Linked DNA regions of Mus musculus. The protein of the gene in region 1 purifies or fractionates together with the protein of each later gene. This does not show direct contact. Links are inferred from orthologs where the notes say so. Each region holds a gene or a part of one and is shown on either strand. Other genes may lie near its edges.

Region 1 (4,106 bases):
GTTGTAACAACACTATTCCACCCACTTTGTTTATTCGTTTGGTTTTGGACACCATGCTCAGCCTTTAACCAGGGGCTAGAATCTAACTCAGGCCCTTACACTTTACCAACTGTGGGCTCCACTCTATAATAATAATAATAATAACAATAATAAGGGCCTGGAGAGATGGCTCAACGGTTAGGAGCACTGACCACATGGTAGCTCACAACCATCTGTAATGGGATCCAGCGCCCTCTTCTGGTGTGTCTGAAGACAGCAACAGTGTGCGCATATAAAATAACTACTAAAATAATTTTGACAATTTGATTCTACATAGTTTAAAGCTTAACATTATTGCATTATTACAATGTCAGTTTACCCGACATGGTGGCCTGCACCTGGAATCTCAATACTGGAGAAGTGGAGGCATGGGAATCAAGGCCAACATAAGCTCTGGGCTAACCAAGGCTATGTAAGAAAGACCTATCCCAGAAACAACACGAAGAAGCCATAAGCCTGTGATCCCAGCACTCAGGAGGCTGAGGCAGGAGGATGAAGAGTTCTAGGTCACTCTGGGCTACATACAGAGACTAAATCTCAAGCACAAGTCCTTGCAACTAGACGCACTGTTCTAAATGCATAGTTGGGCAGGCCTTAACCAGTGTCTCCTTTTGGGGAACTACAGGCACCCGCGAGTATCCATGAACGGAAGTAAATTCCTCAGACAAGGGATTTGTCAAGTGATGTCAGCTTCCCATTTCAGATCTAGACAAGGCTAAGTTCCCCAGCGCGGGTAAACACAGTCGCTAAGAGGTCAAAACAGACACATACCAGCAGTAAGTTTTTCTGTATGTCAGCAACTCAGGGAACTTGGCTAACTGTACCTGGGAGGGGTCTGGAGGGAAAGGCGCTGGCTACATGGCTGTGCACGCCCACCATGGCACCTGGCTGACCAGGATAGAGGATGGAGGATCGAATGTCCTCTCAGCCTCCTCCCCATGAATCCCCTCACATTCTCGCTCCGGGTCCTCTCCTTTTCACAATCCTCTGGCAGTCCCACCGCCTCCGCCCACGCTGGGTAGAAGTCTCAAGAGGGTCGTGCTCCCCTGGAGGGCTGGCCGGCCTCGCGGCGTCTGCTGACCGGTGGGTGCGGCGGTGGCGAGCCGCGCTGGGGCGAGCAGAGCTGCGGAGGGGTAGGAGGGGGCCGGACCCTTGGCCAGGGTCCCAAGGGGCGGTGCCGGGCGCGAACCGTCCCAGGTCCCTCCCAGGCGGGAGCAGCACAGGCGGTGCCCGGGTAGCGGCGGAGCCATGGACGGCAGCGGGCCTTTCAGCTGCCCCATCTGCCTGGAACCGCTCCGGGAGCCGGTGACACTACCCTGCGGCCACAACTTCTGCCTCGCTTGCCTGGGCGCTCTCTGGCCGCACCGGAGCGCGGGCGGCACCGGTGGTTCCGGAGGTCCAGCTCGCTGTCCACTTTGTCAGGAGCCTTTCCCCGACGGCCTGCAGCTCCGCAAGAACCACACGCTGTCCGAGTTGCTGCAGCTCCGCCAGGGCTCGGTCCCGGGACCCATGTCCGCCCCGGCTTCAGGATCGACCCGGGGCGCCACGCCCGAGCCCTCCGCGCCCAGCGCACCACCTCCGGCTCCGGAACCATCGGCTCCCTGCGCGCCGGAGCAGTGGCCCGCGGGTGAGGAGCCGGTGCGCTGCGACGCGTGCCCCGAGGGCGCCGCCCTGCCCGCCGCGCTCTCTTGCCTCTCCTGCCTCGCCTCCTTCTGCTCCGCGCATCTGGCCCCCCACGAACGCAGCCCCGCCCTGCGCGGCCACCGCCTGGTGCCCCCGCTGCGCCGACTTGAGGAGAGCCTGTGTCCGCGCCACCTGCGGCCTCTGGAGCGCTACTGTCGCGTGGAGCGTGTGTGCCTTTGCGAGGCCTGTGCCACTCAGGACCATCGCGGCCACGAGCTCGTGCCGCTGGAGCAGGAGCGCGCGCTTCAGGAGGTGGGGCACCTTGAGTCGACACGTGGAGATGGGTGACAGGAGGGACACTAGAGCTATTTAGTCCCTCACTCTTATCCGGGTGTGTCTGTTATATATTTGTTTTATCATTATGGCTGTGCACATGGAGATGAAGGAAGCAACTTTGTGGGGTTGGTTCTCTCCTCCTGCCTTTACATGGGCTTCATCTCTCTGACTCAATAGGCTCTGCCTTAGTTTCCTCCTCTAGCCTGAGAATCTTTGCAACCTCTTCCGGTCTACACTGTCATTTGCTGGGGCTGGTGTGGATGGAAAGAGAGTCGGGAGGGACTAGTAAGATGAAAGAGTGGCAAAAAGCCGAGAGAGAGAGAGAGAGAGAGAGAGAGAGAGAGAGAGAGAGAGAGAGAGAGCGCTTTAGCTAGATTAGTGTAAGTGTAAAGCGAGAGAGGGATCCGCATTAGGCCCTCAGAAGCCGTGGGGGTCAGGAGTCGCTGGGTGCGGGCGGGGCCCCGTAGCTGATGCCCTCTTCAATTCAGATTCGTCCTGAATTGAGTCAGCCACTTTGTATGGGTGTGGCGGGCACCAGGAGAGCGACGGAGTTTGGGCTGGTCACACAGATCTCCTCTGTCCGAATGCTCTGGGGCCGTGGGGAGCATGTGCCCAGTGTCCCGCTACCTCCCACCCCCAGTTTCCTTTGGCCTCCATCCCGGTCTTGGCGCCTCTGGCTTTGGGATTTTCCGCCTCTCCTGCCTGGAGCTGTGACTCATTAGAGCCGAGGGATTTGCCCGGAATCCCCATTTTTCAGAGCTGGATTGGGGGTGAAGGCTCTTTTGAGACTAATCCCCAGGACTATTTAGTGTCCTCTTTTCTGGTTCCGTCACGTCACACCCTACCCCACCCTCTCACACTTTGCCTCTTCCCCAGGGGGAAAACAATCCCAAATAGAGAATCATAGGTGGCCCTATACTGGCTTCTCTGGTCAACAGGTTGTCATATGCCCACAACCTGCTTCCTTGCCAGGCATTTGGAAATGGCACCAGCTTGGGCCAGAGCTGCCTTGGGGATATTCTGGGACTTCACGGCCATTTCCGTTCCCTTCATTCACAAATGTCACTACCTAGCCCCCCAAATTCTGAGATCTGATGCAGTTCCGGGGACCTTTGACAGACACCAATCTCACAAAACCTGGTCCACAGGTGGAGCAGTCCAAAGTCCTGAGCGCTGCGGAGGACCGCATGGATGAACTGGGTGCCGGCATCGCACAGTCCCGCCGTACTGTGGCCCTCATCAAGGTCCGCGCCCACCCCAATCCCCCTGTGCACCCCTGAAGCAGGCCTCTGAAATCACCACAAGCTCTCACTGTGGTGCCGCCCACTCTAGACGTGCTCGTCCCCACTAAGCAGGAACACCTTGTTTCCTGCAACCTGGCTCAGACCCAGAGCAGGCTGGGGCTGGGTGGGGGCTGGGTGGGCACAAGCAGTCAGGGACGGAGACAGCGGGCAGGCCCGGTCTTTGCCCTCACTGTTGTCTCCTCTGCTCTCTCCTGCAGAGTGCAGCTGTGGCAGAGCGGGAGAGGGTGAGCCAGATGTTTGCCGAGGCCACAGCCACCCTTCAGAGTTTCCAGAACGAGGTGATGGGGTTCATCGAAGAGGGAGAGGCCACAATGTTGGGCCGGTCCCAGGGTGACCTGCGTAGACAAGAGGAACAGCGCAGCCGCCTAAGCAAGGCACGGCACAACCTCGGTCAGGTTCCAGAGGCGGATTCAGTCAGCTTTCTCCAGGTGAGGGCGGCTCAGGAGCCATAATTGAAGAGATGGGGCGGGGTTGAGAAACAATGGCAGCCAGGATGGGTACCTGGCCTTCCAGGATAGTTGCTACCTTCCCTGGTGGCGAGACACTGTGGCCAGCAGACTTACTGGGCATTTGTCTGGCACAGGAGCTCCTGGCACTACGGCTGGCCCTGGAGGAGGGGTGCGGCCCCGGGCCTGGGCCCCCCAGGGAACTCAGCTTCACCAAGTCCTCCCAGGTGGTCAAAGCGGTGAGAGACACCCTCATCTCAGCCTGTGCCAGCCAGTGGGAGCAGCTGCGGGGGCTGGGCAGCAATGAGGATGGGCTACAGAAACTCGGCTCAGAAGGTGGGTGCTCCATTATGACTCA
Region 2 (4,086 bases), on another chromosome or scaffold:
GCAGATCTTCAACCATCCCATCCCTCTGGGTGAGTGCTCTTCTAAGGCCAACTGGCAGCCTTAATAAGCTCTTTATTATGGGCACACTGGCTCTCCATCCAACACATCAAAGCCCAAGTGAGCCTAATTGAAAGCTCTGTCTTTGAGATCTCATCTGCCTGCTAGTGGTCTGACTGCTTATCGTCCTGTGAATAGTCAGACGCTTCCTGTCCCACAGAATCCAACTTCTTCCCTCAGCCAGCATCAACACCTGTTCTACCACTGTAATAGCCCTAGTAGTGGGGACTTAATGCACTCAAGCTACAGAAGGGCTCCATTTCTCATGAGATGTCTGCAGCAAGTTAATAGGAGGTGGTGGATTGTCACATCCTGGTGGCAGAGAATGTTCATTATATAGCTGGAGAAAAACACGGCAAGTATAGTCCCATTTTATTTGCTAGCTACAGAGGAATGTGTAAATGCACGTTCATGTACACATTTGTGTGAGCATAAAAAACGGGCCTGGGAAAATAACCAAGAAAAATTAACAGTCAATTTGGTGTGTGTGTGTGTGTGTGTGTGTGTGTGTGTGTGTGTGGTGGGGCAGGGGGGTCGTTTTCCTTATTATCCTTTGAATGGCTTGGTGTTTTTGTGAATAGGTGCAGGGCCTTAAGGAATCTGGGACGACCTTTTCAAAGCTGATGCTGTGACCATCTAGTCTATTAGTACACATTCTCTTCTGTTCCAAACTTAGCACCTTCTACCCCTAACCCCGTTACCATTGTCTGAGATGTGAGTTAAAAAGTGAGATATCTTGAGGGTGATTAACCTAACCCTAGGTCTCTCTGGGGTTGTGGCAAGTACCAGTGCATTTTTAGAATAATGTAAGAAATGGCAACTGTCGTCTCTCACAAAACCCCCAGGTTCTGAGAGAGCTAAATCCTTGAGCTGTAAATTTAATTTGAAGTGAGACTTTTACCTGAGTGTGCTGGCTGAAAGGCTCCTTAGGGCTAAGAACACAGCGAAACAGTGAGGGAGTCATCACTTCTAATATACATGTCCCTAGCTTTCTCTAGTAAGGCTTAGCCTTGCTTGGCATCTAAAGTAAACATCACCAGGTGTTTTACGCTTAAGGATTATCCACCAAGCCTCACAGCAGAACCAGAGTTTTTCAGAAATAAATGCACACATAGCTAACACAGGCCACACTGTTGGAGGAGCATTTAAAAATCCATTTCAAAGGATTATATGTTCAAGTTAGCTACAAATCTCACATATCAGTCTCTCATTGCTCGTAGGAAAAAAATTTTTTTAAGTATGATATTTGTTAAGAAAGTATACCGATAACCTGAAAACCCAGGTTCCATTCAGTTGTGTGAAAACCAGTTAGGTCCCAAACATGTTGCTCAGGCCAGAACAAAGTACAGAAGTGTTGTGTAGTTTAAAAAATGAAGGTGTTCTGAGACTCCATGTTTCTTCATTTGCTCCTACCTACAGTACAAAATATGGACCATAGCATTAAAATCACCCACCATGCCTTGAATCCCCACTCAGGAGGCAGAGGCAGGTAGATAACCCCTGAGTTCAAGGCCAACTTGGTCTACTCACAGTGAGTTCCAGGACAGTAGAAGCTACATCGTGAGAACCTGTTTCTAACCCTAACCTTACATAGTGGACCTACATAGTGAGACCATGTCTCAATAAATACATAAACTTCTTCTTCATCTTCTTCCTCCTCCTCCCCCTTATCATCATCACCATCATCTACCACAGGGAACTTTTCTTATTCAAGGAGGGTCTGCATAACAAAGTCCCCAGATGGTTCAGGGGAAGGAGATTGGATTCTTGGCTTTATCAAAAGCAGTCTACTACTTCTGCTCTGTCTTTAAGCTCTTAATAATTGGGCAAGATCTGCTCCTAGCATTAATGCAAACAGGGAGAGATTTTGGTGCTCAGGAGGTGAGTCTACAGCTGGCTCCAGAAAGAGGGAGCGCCCGGAATACTGTGTGGCGGCTCCCTTCCAGACTGATAAGTGGTGGGATACTCTTTATGGGGCTTGTCTAGGTTAGGGATGATACTGAATTAGAAGCTGAATTTGGGATTTCAATTTCCAAGGAGAGTAACAGAGGTTAAAAGAGAAATGGGGAGAAAGGCGCAGGTATTGGCACTTTAGAGAGTCCCGGGTGGGCAGCTGGTAAGTCACTCACTTATACCAGGAATCTGGGAGGAGCGAAAAGGAGAGTTGAGACCAGAAGAGATCCGGCAATTGTGCACCAGGAGAAGGGAACGAGGGCTGTGTGCAGCAGAGCAGAATCTTAACTGTCAGATGCGACACTGGCAACCAGACCCATCAGGACCCAGCAGGGGTCCAGAGAAGCAGACCCCAGTCGTTCTAACGGATAAGATGCGGCAGCCAGAGGCCTAACTCACAGCTGTGCGATGCCCGCCTGGCGCACCGCAGACGAGATGGCTTTGATCGCGGTGCAGAGCGAATTCAGCAGCTGGGTCAACTCCCCCGTGCCCTGAGCCTTCCTGCCCTGCTCCATGACGAAGCGGGTCAGGGTGCTGATATCCGTTTCGAAGGGCGCATGGTTCGCCATTGCTGGGGTCTGGCGCAGGTGCTGGCTAAAGGTGCTGACTAAAGGTGCAGGCAGGTGGAGCCCACAGGTGATAGTCACAGCGGGAAGACTGAAAGCCGTTCAGTGTCTGCAGAAACTCAATGAACTTGAGTCCTGGGGGAGCCTATAGTCTCCAGGTCTCCGCCCCCCTGTCCCAGGAAACACCCCCTTGCTCCCTTCCTCTACCAACTGCCATTCTGCCCGCTGGCCAAGGTCCTCCTAGCCTCTCCCTCCCTCCGTTCCATGCACCCTCCCCTAGATGCCAAGCTGACAACGCTACTTCCTCCTCTGTTGCCCCACCGCCCACCTTGCCTCTGGGCTACCTGCATGGTTATCTCCTCCAATGCCCGCTATAACCTGCCAGAGAGGAAGGCATGATGGACTCCTCCTCCCATAACCCTTCCCCCGTCCCACCCACCCACCTGCTTAAAATACTAAGCAAATTCAGGGAGGTTGAGTAACTAGTTCAGGGAAAGCCGCACTTGAGCCTGAGGTGGCTTGGTTTCGATCCCTACCCACTGCTCTTCCTGAACCATCACTGTCTCTTCTGACCCATCTCCTGGGAAATGGATTCTCCCATCCACATCCACTCTGAATCCTTAATTGTTGCCTCCTCCCAGTTTCTAGAGTTGGAGAACTGTTGGGAACCTTAGTTTCTAAGTGTCTTCCGCAGAGAAAACTAATGCAGACACAAACAGCTATTCTCTGAAGTCAGGCTGTTCCGCAGCCAGCGTCCTTACCCGTGCCTGTTCTAGCTGTCACAAGTCATAGGCTGATTTGTAGAACAATTAATTACTGAGCAGGTACTGTGCACCAGGACACCGGCTTTCTTTGAGGTCAGAGCCCAAGGAGTACAAACTCCTGCCCTTCTTGAGTGTAAGATTGACAAGTAACAAAAAGAAACAAAAACATACCATGGATCAGTTTGCTACAGGAGCCACTTTGGCATAGAGAATCATGAAAAGAGAAAGATAAATAGAGAATGCTGGGAAGAGTAAACTGGGGTGTCAGGGAAAAGTTCACTGGGAAAATAATATTTGAGCAAAAAGCTGAAGGATGCAAGAGAAGAACCAGAGTGGACTTGTCTGTGGGACTGGTTAGCCAGCCAGGCTAGTGCAATCAGCTAGCACCAAGCTTATCAGAGACCATCTCTCAAAACAAGGTAGACAGTGCCCAAGGAACAGCGCCCAAGGCTCACATGTGTACCCGACAGCCACACAGACACCAGGAAAGAAAGGAGAAAAGAGAGAGAAGGATGATATTATGACAGATCTCACAAACCATAGCAAAACACTTGTGGGTTCTATTCACAGTGCTGGAAGAACCTGTGGAGGGTTTTAAGCTGGAAAGCTATGACTTGCTCTGTTCTACATGATGAAGGAACAGACTGCAGAAGGTCAAGAGCTGAAGCTGGGAGAGCTAGCAGCGTGCCTTCCATCTAGCCTGTTTGTGTTCCCTGTCTGATGTACAAAGATTGCTATCAAACTGG
Region 3 (3,564 bases), on another chromosome or scaffold:
GTTTGTTTGTCTTTCCTTAGAGCCTCTCTCCCAGCACCCTTGGGAAAGGAGAGTCTAGAGGCGTTTTCTTACCAAGCCTGCTGACCCCTGCACCATGGCCCCATGCTGCCCCTCAGGTGAGCGGGCACCAGTTTCCTGTGCTGAGGAGAAAGGGAGAAAAGAGGGTGTTGGTGAAGGCCACTTCCCCCAGTCAGGGTTTTCAGATGGGCAGTGCTAGAACGGCCTTGCCTCTGGCCAAAGCCCACAGTGCCAACCTCAAGACTGCTTGATGTCCCTGTGTGGGGCGTGGTGCTTCATCTGTCGGAATGCTGCTGCCCATGAGGGACTTGATTGAAAGGCTGTGGATCAGACCACGTATTGGGGATCCTGTGGCTAGTTGAATTTAAGTTGTGTATCTTGTTTCTGCTAAATCTGAAGGTTGCTTCTAGCTTTCTCCTTTAAGGGAAATGCCATTGCCTCTGGGATCCCAGAAACCTGCCTAACATCTTTGTTGAATCTCTTGCATTCCTTCTTGGTATTGCTGTATAGATATCTGTAGCTAAAATAATAGAGTTATCCATCCACCAGAAAAAAAATCCTTGAGTATTTATTAAAGATAAAACAAATTGAAAAAGAGAATCCCTTAGGATATTAAGCACTAAAATAATTGTGAAAGCCTGAAAAACCAACTGTTTCAGCTAAAACAAAGACAAGAAAGATATATGTTAAGTAATAAAAATAGTACTTGTTTGAAAATGTAAATTGTTTTTAATAAAATTGCTTCTTAGGGGGATAAGAGGAACTGCTTAAGCACAGGACGAATGTTGTAATACATCGCAGCTCTGCACCCGGGGTTGATTGGCTTGGCTGCTAAGAATTATGGGTGTCGAGTGCACAGTAGACACACGCCGCACGTTTGTTGCGTATAATTGTGTACAGGAATTACAGCACATATGCAGATACTAATTATGAAAAAGTGTCTGTATACATTAAATTTAAAGCCTAATCACATAGTAGTTTACTATAGACAAAACAATTCGCCAGCTGGCGTAGAATGGAGTGAACCTTTATTTGAAGGGGGTAAGAGAAAAAAAGCTTAGCGTTAGCCTAGTTGCAAACACTAGGAATGTGCGTCTGTCTGTCTGTCTGTCTGTCTGTGTGTCTGTGTGAGGGAGAGAGAATTGAAACTGTCTGAGAGAACATACTTTCATACATTCTGCACACCTCTTGGGAAAAGCCACTGCTGTGCTCCCCTCCATGGGACAGCCACAGAAAGCAGCATAGCCAGGTTTCCCCCGTGGAGAATGCAGTATGGCCAGGCACAGTGCTTCCCCAATGCCTGGGTAGCTCAACTGCCCAAAGATGTCTCAGGAATCCTTGCTAAGAGGGATTCTTCTTTTAAGTCTGTTAATGAATGACAGACATCATGATGAGCTTGCCTGGCCACCTTTGGTACATATCCCTTTCCAGAGAGTGTGTTGCTCACGTTTTTTCCAGTTGTTTTTCTCCTCCCCAGATTGGTGGTAAATGGGCACAGTAGCCCTGCGAGCTGCATAGCTTCCTAGCTGCCCAGCCCTGAGCTCAAATTTGTATGTATTTATTTAATAAAGGCTGTGGGCTGTTTAGCTGGCCTGCTCTTTCTCGGTGTGTCTTTCTCCCCTACTCCAGCCCCACCCCCACCCCCAGACACTGCACAGGCTTGGCAAGCACCCACTCTTACTCCTGCGGGCTCCTCCGAGCAGCTCTGACTGTCTGCTTGTCTCTTTGCAGCAGCAGCAACAGCAGCAGCAGCAACAGCAGCAGCAGCAGCAGCCACCGCCGCCACCGCCGCAGCCACAGCCACAGCCCCAGGCAGGCCCCAGACTCCCCCCACGGCAGCCCACCGTGGCCTCCTCCGCGGAGTCCGATGAGGAAAACCGGCAGAAGACCAGGCCACGAACCAAAATTTCCGTGGAAGCCCTGGGGATCCTTCAGAGTTTCATCCAAGATGTGGGCCTGTACCCAGATGAAGAGGCTATCCAGACTCTGTCTGCACAGCTGGACCTCCCGAAGTACACCATCATCAAGTTCTTTCAGAACCAGCGGTACTACCTTAAGCACCATGGCAAGCTGAAGGACAACTCCGGCTTGGAGGTGGATGTGGCCGAGTACAAAGATGAGGAGTTGCTTAAGGATTTGGAAGAGAGCGTCCAGGATAAAAACGCCAACACCCTTTTCTCAGTGAAACTAGAGGAAGAGCTGTCGGTGGAAGGGAGCACAGACGTTAATGCCGACTTGAAAGACTGAGAGAACAGTATTCTTTTCAGCCACACCACCGGTATTTCCTAACAACATGAGAAGTCCACCTTGTGTTCACTCAGACAAACCTTCATTGTTTATTGTTTGGCCAATGAATCTTCGGAAACTTGCACAAACAGGAAGGAAGTTGGAAGGACAGGACAGCCAGCACTCAAGGTTTTACTGTGTTTTACAAAACTGCTTGGCAGCCCCGGGTGAAGCGTCAAGGACTGTTTGGTAGAATTTGTGTTCAAGGGCTGCACCCAGGTGTTGTACCCTGTCAGCATGATACCAGAAATTGGTTTTCCTTTTGATTATTATTATTCTGGAGCCTCAAATAAGCATTATAACTTCTGTGGTTATGATTGCCTTTTCTTTAGTAATTCTTCTGTAACCCGCCACACTAGTCTTTGGAAACTGGCCCCTTATTTTAAAGAGAAAAAGAAAAAAAAAAAGAGAGAGAGAGAGTTTGTTACTCGATTGTATGTTAAAAAAAAGAACTATAGACTGTGGAATGCAGTTTAAAGATGACATATGCCAACAAATGCCTTGTATTGTATGGCACTGCCGTAATTAAAATTTGTTTTTTTATTTTGGAAATAAAAGTTCACTGTAATTTTTTTCATCCTCATTATTACATGATTTTTTTTTTAAGGAAAAGAAAATGTGAAACACAATTTAGTCCTTGTTATTTATTTGTAGCTCCTGCAGCATCATGTCATAATTAAGTTTTTTGGAGATTTCTGTTAAATGTAATGTTGCTTTCCCATCCTGATTTCCTTTCTATTTATAACTGTATTTTGATGGGCAGTAAAACAAAGTGTCTTAAAAGTTTTAAATAGAGAAAAATGTGCTTTACACAGTTGCCTATAAAAAGTCTATGTTATCCAAGCAATTCACTCTAGAAGCTTCGGTCTCGTTGTTGTATGCAATTTTTACTATCATGCAAATAAGCTTAGGTAAATAAAACTAATAGATCACCTTAGAAAATTATGCAATTAATGTGAAAATAATTGATGTTTGCAATGTGTCTTCCTTTGGTTTACAATCAATTTTAAAGCGACATCTGTATAAAGTTTCTGTATAAAGGTGTATTTCTTTTTTATGAGTTTATGGCTATGAAAACACCAGCTATTTTGTTACAGCTGCTGTTTTTATAAGTGTATCACAGTTTTCTTTATGCAGAAATGTGCTGATTAGGAGTGGTTATTGACTGTAAGTACACGATTAAAATTGTTTGTATGGTATGACATGGCAGGGTTTGTCTGCTTATGTGAAGTAACTTGAGCCAGGCTCAAGGACGGCTGT
Region 4 (3,564 bases), on another chromosome or scaffold:
GAGATGACCCTGTCTGGGGCTGTTGACTATTAGGAGGGTACAGTGGAAACGCGTACATAGATAAGCTGGTTGAGCCCCTTTATATAAAAGATAAGGAGGCTGAAGCCTGAGAAGGTTCTGTGGACTTAAGAGTCAAGAGTCAAGGCCTACCTCTGTTACTTTTGTACTCTTCAGTCTTAAATTGCTCAACCTCTTCTAGAAGGCTGTATAATATAGATATCTATATTATATAGATATTTGTGTGTATATGTGTGTACTCTGGACTGATAGATGATAAATCCATAGTCAAAACATGCTTGTAACTTGCCTGGAGGACTCGGCACTCTCTTCTAAGTGGGTCCTTGACTTTGGCCCATTGTCTCTGCCATGCTGTTCTACTTTGCCAGTGCTGTTCCATGACTCACTACTGGAAAACAGACTTTATGTATCCGTAAAACCTTAATTCCGCCAAAAGGAAAGTTGATGTAGCATCCAGCCTGTGAGGTTTCAAAGGGCAGCAGAGTGACAGCCTGCTAGTGTGCCTTGGGGACCTGAGCAACAGCAAGGTGCAATAGCAGAGAGCAAAGTGCATGAAGAACAAGGTGCATGCAGACTTTGTCGCACTCAGTGTATGGCCCAGCAGCCTTTCACTAGGTTCCCTGGAGAGTGCTGTAGAGTTAAGTGACAGACACTAGCTAAATAAAAACCTGGTGAATTGTTAAATTTGGATAGTAATAAGTTACTGAAATTATACTTTTTTTCTATGCCATTTCAGAATAGTGCAGTATCTTAGCATTTGCCATATTTACAACTTTCCTCATAAGAGTCTGTCTTTGAAATTAAAATTTGTTTAATATATATAAGATCAGTTTTTCCATATAGCTAAATAAAATATTAAAAGCAAAGACAGTGTAAGGCTATCAGTTCTGGCACAGCGACTTGAATAATTTAGAGTCACTTTCTAAATTTATTTTTTATTATACAAGATATATAATATAGATTATAAATGTATAAAGTTTGGGTCGGGCATGGTGGCACACAGCTTTTAATCTCAGCACAAGGCAGAAGTAGGCGGATCTCTGAGTTTGAGGCCAGACTGGTATACAGAGTGAGTTCCAGGACAAGCAAATCTCTGTTAAAACTTGATCTAGTTTCCTTTTGAGTGGGTATTTGTACTTCAGAACATGCTTTAAGCCAATACCAGTGTACATTTGTGAAACTTGTAAAGACCAGCACTTTCGGTCTCTGTCCTGTTTCATGGCGTGTGTGGCTGTATGATACGCATGTGGGTAGGTAGCACAAGTGGCCACCAAAGAATACCTCCACATTGGATGTAACCTGGAACGGATTCCTCTGGGGTGCTGGTGATAGTTAAATGGAGGCACCTGACCTCCCACATACCTGCCTATTCTCCTTACAAATAAACAAAGTAGTTATGATTGGCAAGTTATAAAAATAATCAAGGTTTTAAAAAAATAGAAGGAAAATCAAATACTTTCTTGACCTTTTCTTTCCAGGGAAGTCGAGACAACATGAGTGTGATTTTGATCTGTTTTCCAAGTGCACCCAAAGTCTCGGCAGAGGCGGTGAAGAAGGAGGCGGAGCTGGACAAGTACCTGGAGAGCAGAGTAGAAGGTGGATCATTAACAAAAATAAATAAGTAGCTTTCTTTCAAAACAAAACCTTCCACACAAAGTCTAACCTTTTAGAAAGGTTTTAGTCCATTACATGCCTTTAGCATGTAGTACTAGTGTGGAAAGGACGTTCTGTAGTAACCATTTGTTTAGCTGTGTTCCCTGGGCCCTGTGCACTATGGTTAGGAAACTTCCAAGTGACTGAAGCATGGCTCTAAGATTCTTGCTAAACCCACTGGCATGTGTAATGTCATGCCAGGCAAGCCTGAGTATCCTCCTCTGAAAAGACGTACTGCAAGTCTCTGGAATATTTTTAATTACCTGTGTTTGGTTGGTTGGATTTTGGGTGGTTTTGTTTTGTTGGTTTTGGTTTTGAGAACGTGAAGGTCAAATGTTTAGCAACAACTGTCGGGTCCCACAGCTTTGAAACTCTGCTTTCAGCTGGTTCACGGCTTTCCTCCTGAGCCATGAGCAGTTTGAGCTTACAACACAGACCTGGCAGGAATTCCCAGATGAATCAAGAAAGTAGCTTGCAACCCCAGGAGTGTGAATCTGATGTCTCTGCAGATCACTTTAGAGTAGAACAAATGGAAAGTGTTTGTACCTCAAAAAAAAAAAAAAAAAAAAAGCAATGCATTTAAGTATTTGGAGAAATTAATCTTTTGTTGGTGGGGTTTGGTTACTTGGTTGTGGAACTTGGGACCAAATCTAAGGTTTTTTGCACAGAAGGGAAGTATTTCCCTCTGTGGCACACCTCGGCCCTTACGTGATCTTTGATAATGCTGTTCACCACGCATAAAATAAGCATTGTCTCCCCTGTGCGTACACACAATGCATATGGATCATGTAGGCCCTATAAGCAGAAACACTTCCATGTAAAAAGTGTGTTTGACTCTTCTGATACCATAATTGGCATGCAAGCTTCAATCTGCCATGTCCTTGCATCTCATTGTGTCTTCATTATTAAAATTAGTGTGCATCTTAATTTTATTTTCTCCATTTCAGTTGCTTGATTTCATTTGTAATCTGCCTATTAGCATCATGTTTGGTTTTGGTTGTCAGTGTTTCTAGAGACCGGAGACGGTCTTGTTCTTCTTACCCCCTCCCTCCTTGTATGGTAATGTCTGTGTTTGTACTGTTTAGTATTTCATTCATTGAGTGTACTAGTCAGTGCATTTTTTCTCACTATTTTAAGGTTCTTGTAACTTTTTATATCTTAAGTAATTTCAATATGTTATTTGTAGATAAAACAGTAAAGTTAAAAATACTTAGAATGTTACAGGGTGAGTGGTCTAAATTGCTGATCGGTAGAAAAATATGCAGCCAAAAAATATGTATAGGGTTAAGTTCCTATTGATGTCTTGGCACTTTAACCTGGGCATATGTTTTATTGGTATAAAGAATTAATAAATACCTTAGTATTTTTACTGTGAAGTGATATCCAGTTTTTGGAATGAATTGCTATTTTTCTCTTTAAGCGTGCTTTATTTTAAAGTAAATTTTTGGTGGAATTATCAAACATTCACTACATACATATAACTTTATAAGTTTTATATTTCATACTATCAAGTGAGAGTTGCCATCTGGGCAGAGTTTACATTAGTAGTCAATATTTTTGCTATATTCAAGTGTTTTAACATGCAGTTGGAGGTAATGTCATAAATTAAGATGCAACTAGAGAGAAAATGATGTTCGGTAAAGCTGCTGCTATTTAAAGGCATAGAATGTGACTTTGCACTGTAAATGATGTATGTCTTAAATGAAGATACACAGCTTCTAAAGCAGGCACCAAATACCTTTTTAAATACATGCCTTGACTAAGTTGTTGTGGCCCTACTAAGCCTCATTGATTTGCTGTCGACCGTTTTGGCCTGTGTGACTCCACCATTGGGAAGGATAATGCTTCCCTCCTGCTGCTGTGTCCGCCTTCACTGAAGGCTGCTTGTCCTTA

The links.
Region 2: the proteins of Trim47 (region 1) and Fbp1 purify together in Homo sapiens (affinity purification with western blotting; 3 studies listed by BioGRID). This does not show direct contact. The link is inferred for Mus musculus from reciprocal best matches to the Homo sapiens genes TRIM47 and FBP1.
Region 3: the proteins of Trim47 (region 1) and Satb1 purify together in Homo sapiens (affinity purification with mass spectrometry; 4 studies listed by BioGRID and IntAct, with this or other methods). This does not show direct contact. The link is inferred for Mus musculus from reciprocal best matches to the Homo sapiens genes TRIM47 and SATB1.
Region 4: the proteins of Trim47 (region 1) and Ppm1a purify together in Homo sapiens (affinity purification with western blotting; 3 studies listed by BioGRID, with this or other methods). This does not show direct contact. The link is inferred for Mus musculus from reciprocal best matches to the Homo sapiens genes TRIM47 and PPM1A.

Annotation. Positions count from the first base shown.
Region 1 is NC_000077.6:116,107,402-116,111,507, reverse strand, and holds the start of Trim47 (E3 ubiquitin-protein ligase TRIM47), read left to right. Parts: upstream 1-1,272; 5' UTR 1,273-1,287; coding exon 1,288-1,974; intron 1,975-3,146; coding exon 3,147-3,242; intron 3,243-3,499; coding exon 3,500-3,730; intron 3,731-3,885; coding exon 3,886-4,084; intron 4,085-4,106. UniProt on the Homo sapiens protein: E3 ubiquitin-protein ligase that mediates the ubiquitination and proteasomal degradation of CYLD.
Region 2 is NC_000079.6:62,885,465-62,889,550, forward strand, and holds the start of Fbp1 (fructose-1,6-bisphosphatase 1), read right to left. Parts: upstream 2,819-4,086; 5' UTR 2,580-2,818; coding exon 2,410-2,579; exon of another isoform or gene 2,187-2,409; intron 1-2,186. UniProt on the Homo sapiens protein: Catalyzes the hydrolysis of fructose 1,6-bisphosphate to fructose 6-phosphate in the presence of divalent cations, acting as a rate-limiting enzyme in gluconeogenesis. Plays a role in regulating glucose sensing and insulin secretion of pancreatic beta-cells.
Region 3 is NC_000083.6:51,738,599-51,742,162, reverse strand, and holds part of Satb1 (DNA-binding protein SATB1), read left to right. Parts: intron 1-20; coding exon of another isoform or gene 21-116; intron 117-1,749; coding exon 1,750-2,265; 3' UTR 2,266-3,564. UniProt on the Homo sapiens protein: Crucial silencing factor contributing to the initiation of X inactivation mediated by Xist RNA that occurs during embryogenesis and in lymphoma.
Region 4 is NC_000078.6:72,785,176-72,788,739, forward strand, and holds part of Ppm1a (protein phosphatase 1A), read left to right. Parts: intron 1-1,496; coding exon 1,497-1,614; intron 1,615-3,564. UniProt on the Homo sapiens protein: Enzyme with a broad specificity. Negatively regulates TGF-beta signaling through dephosphorylating SMAD2 and SMAD3, resulting in their dissociation from SMAD4, nuclear export of the SMADs and termination of the TGF-beta-mediated signaling.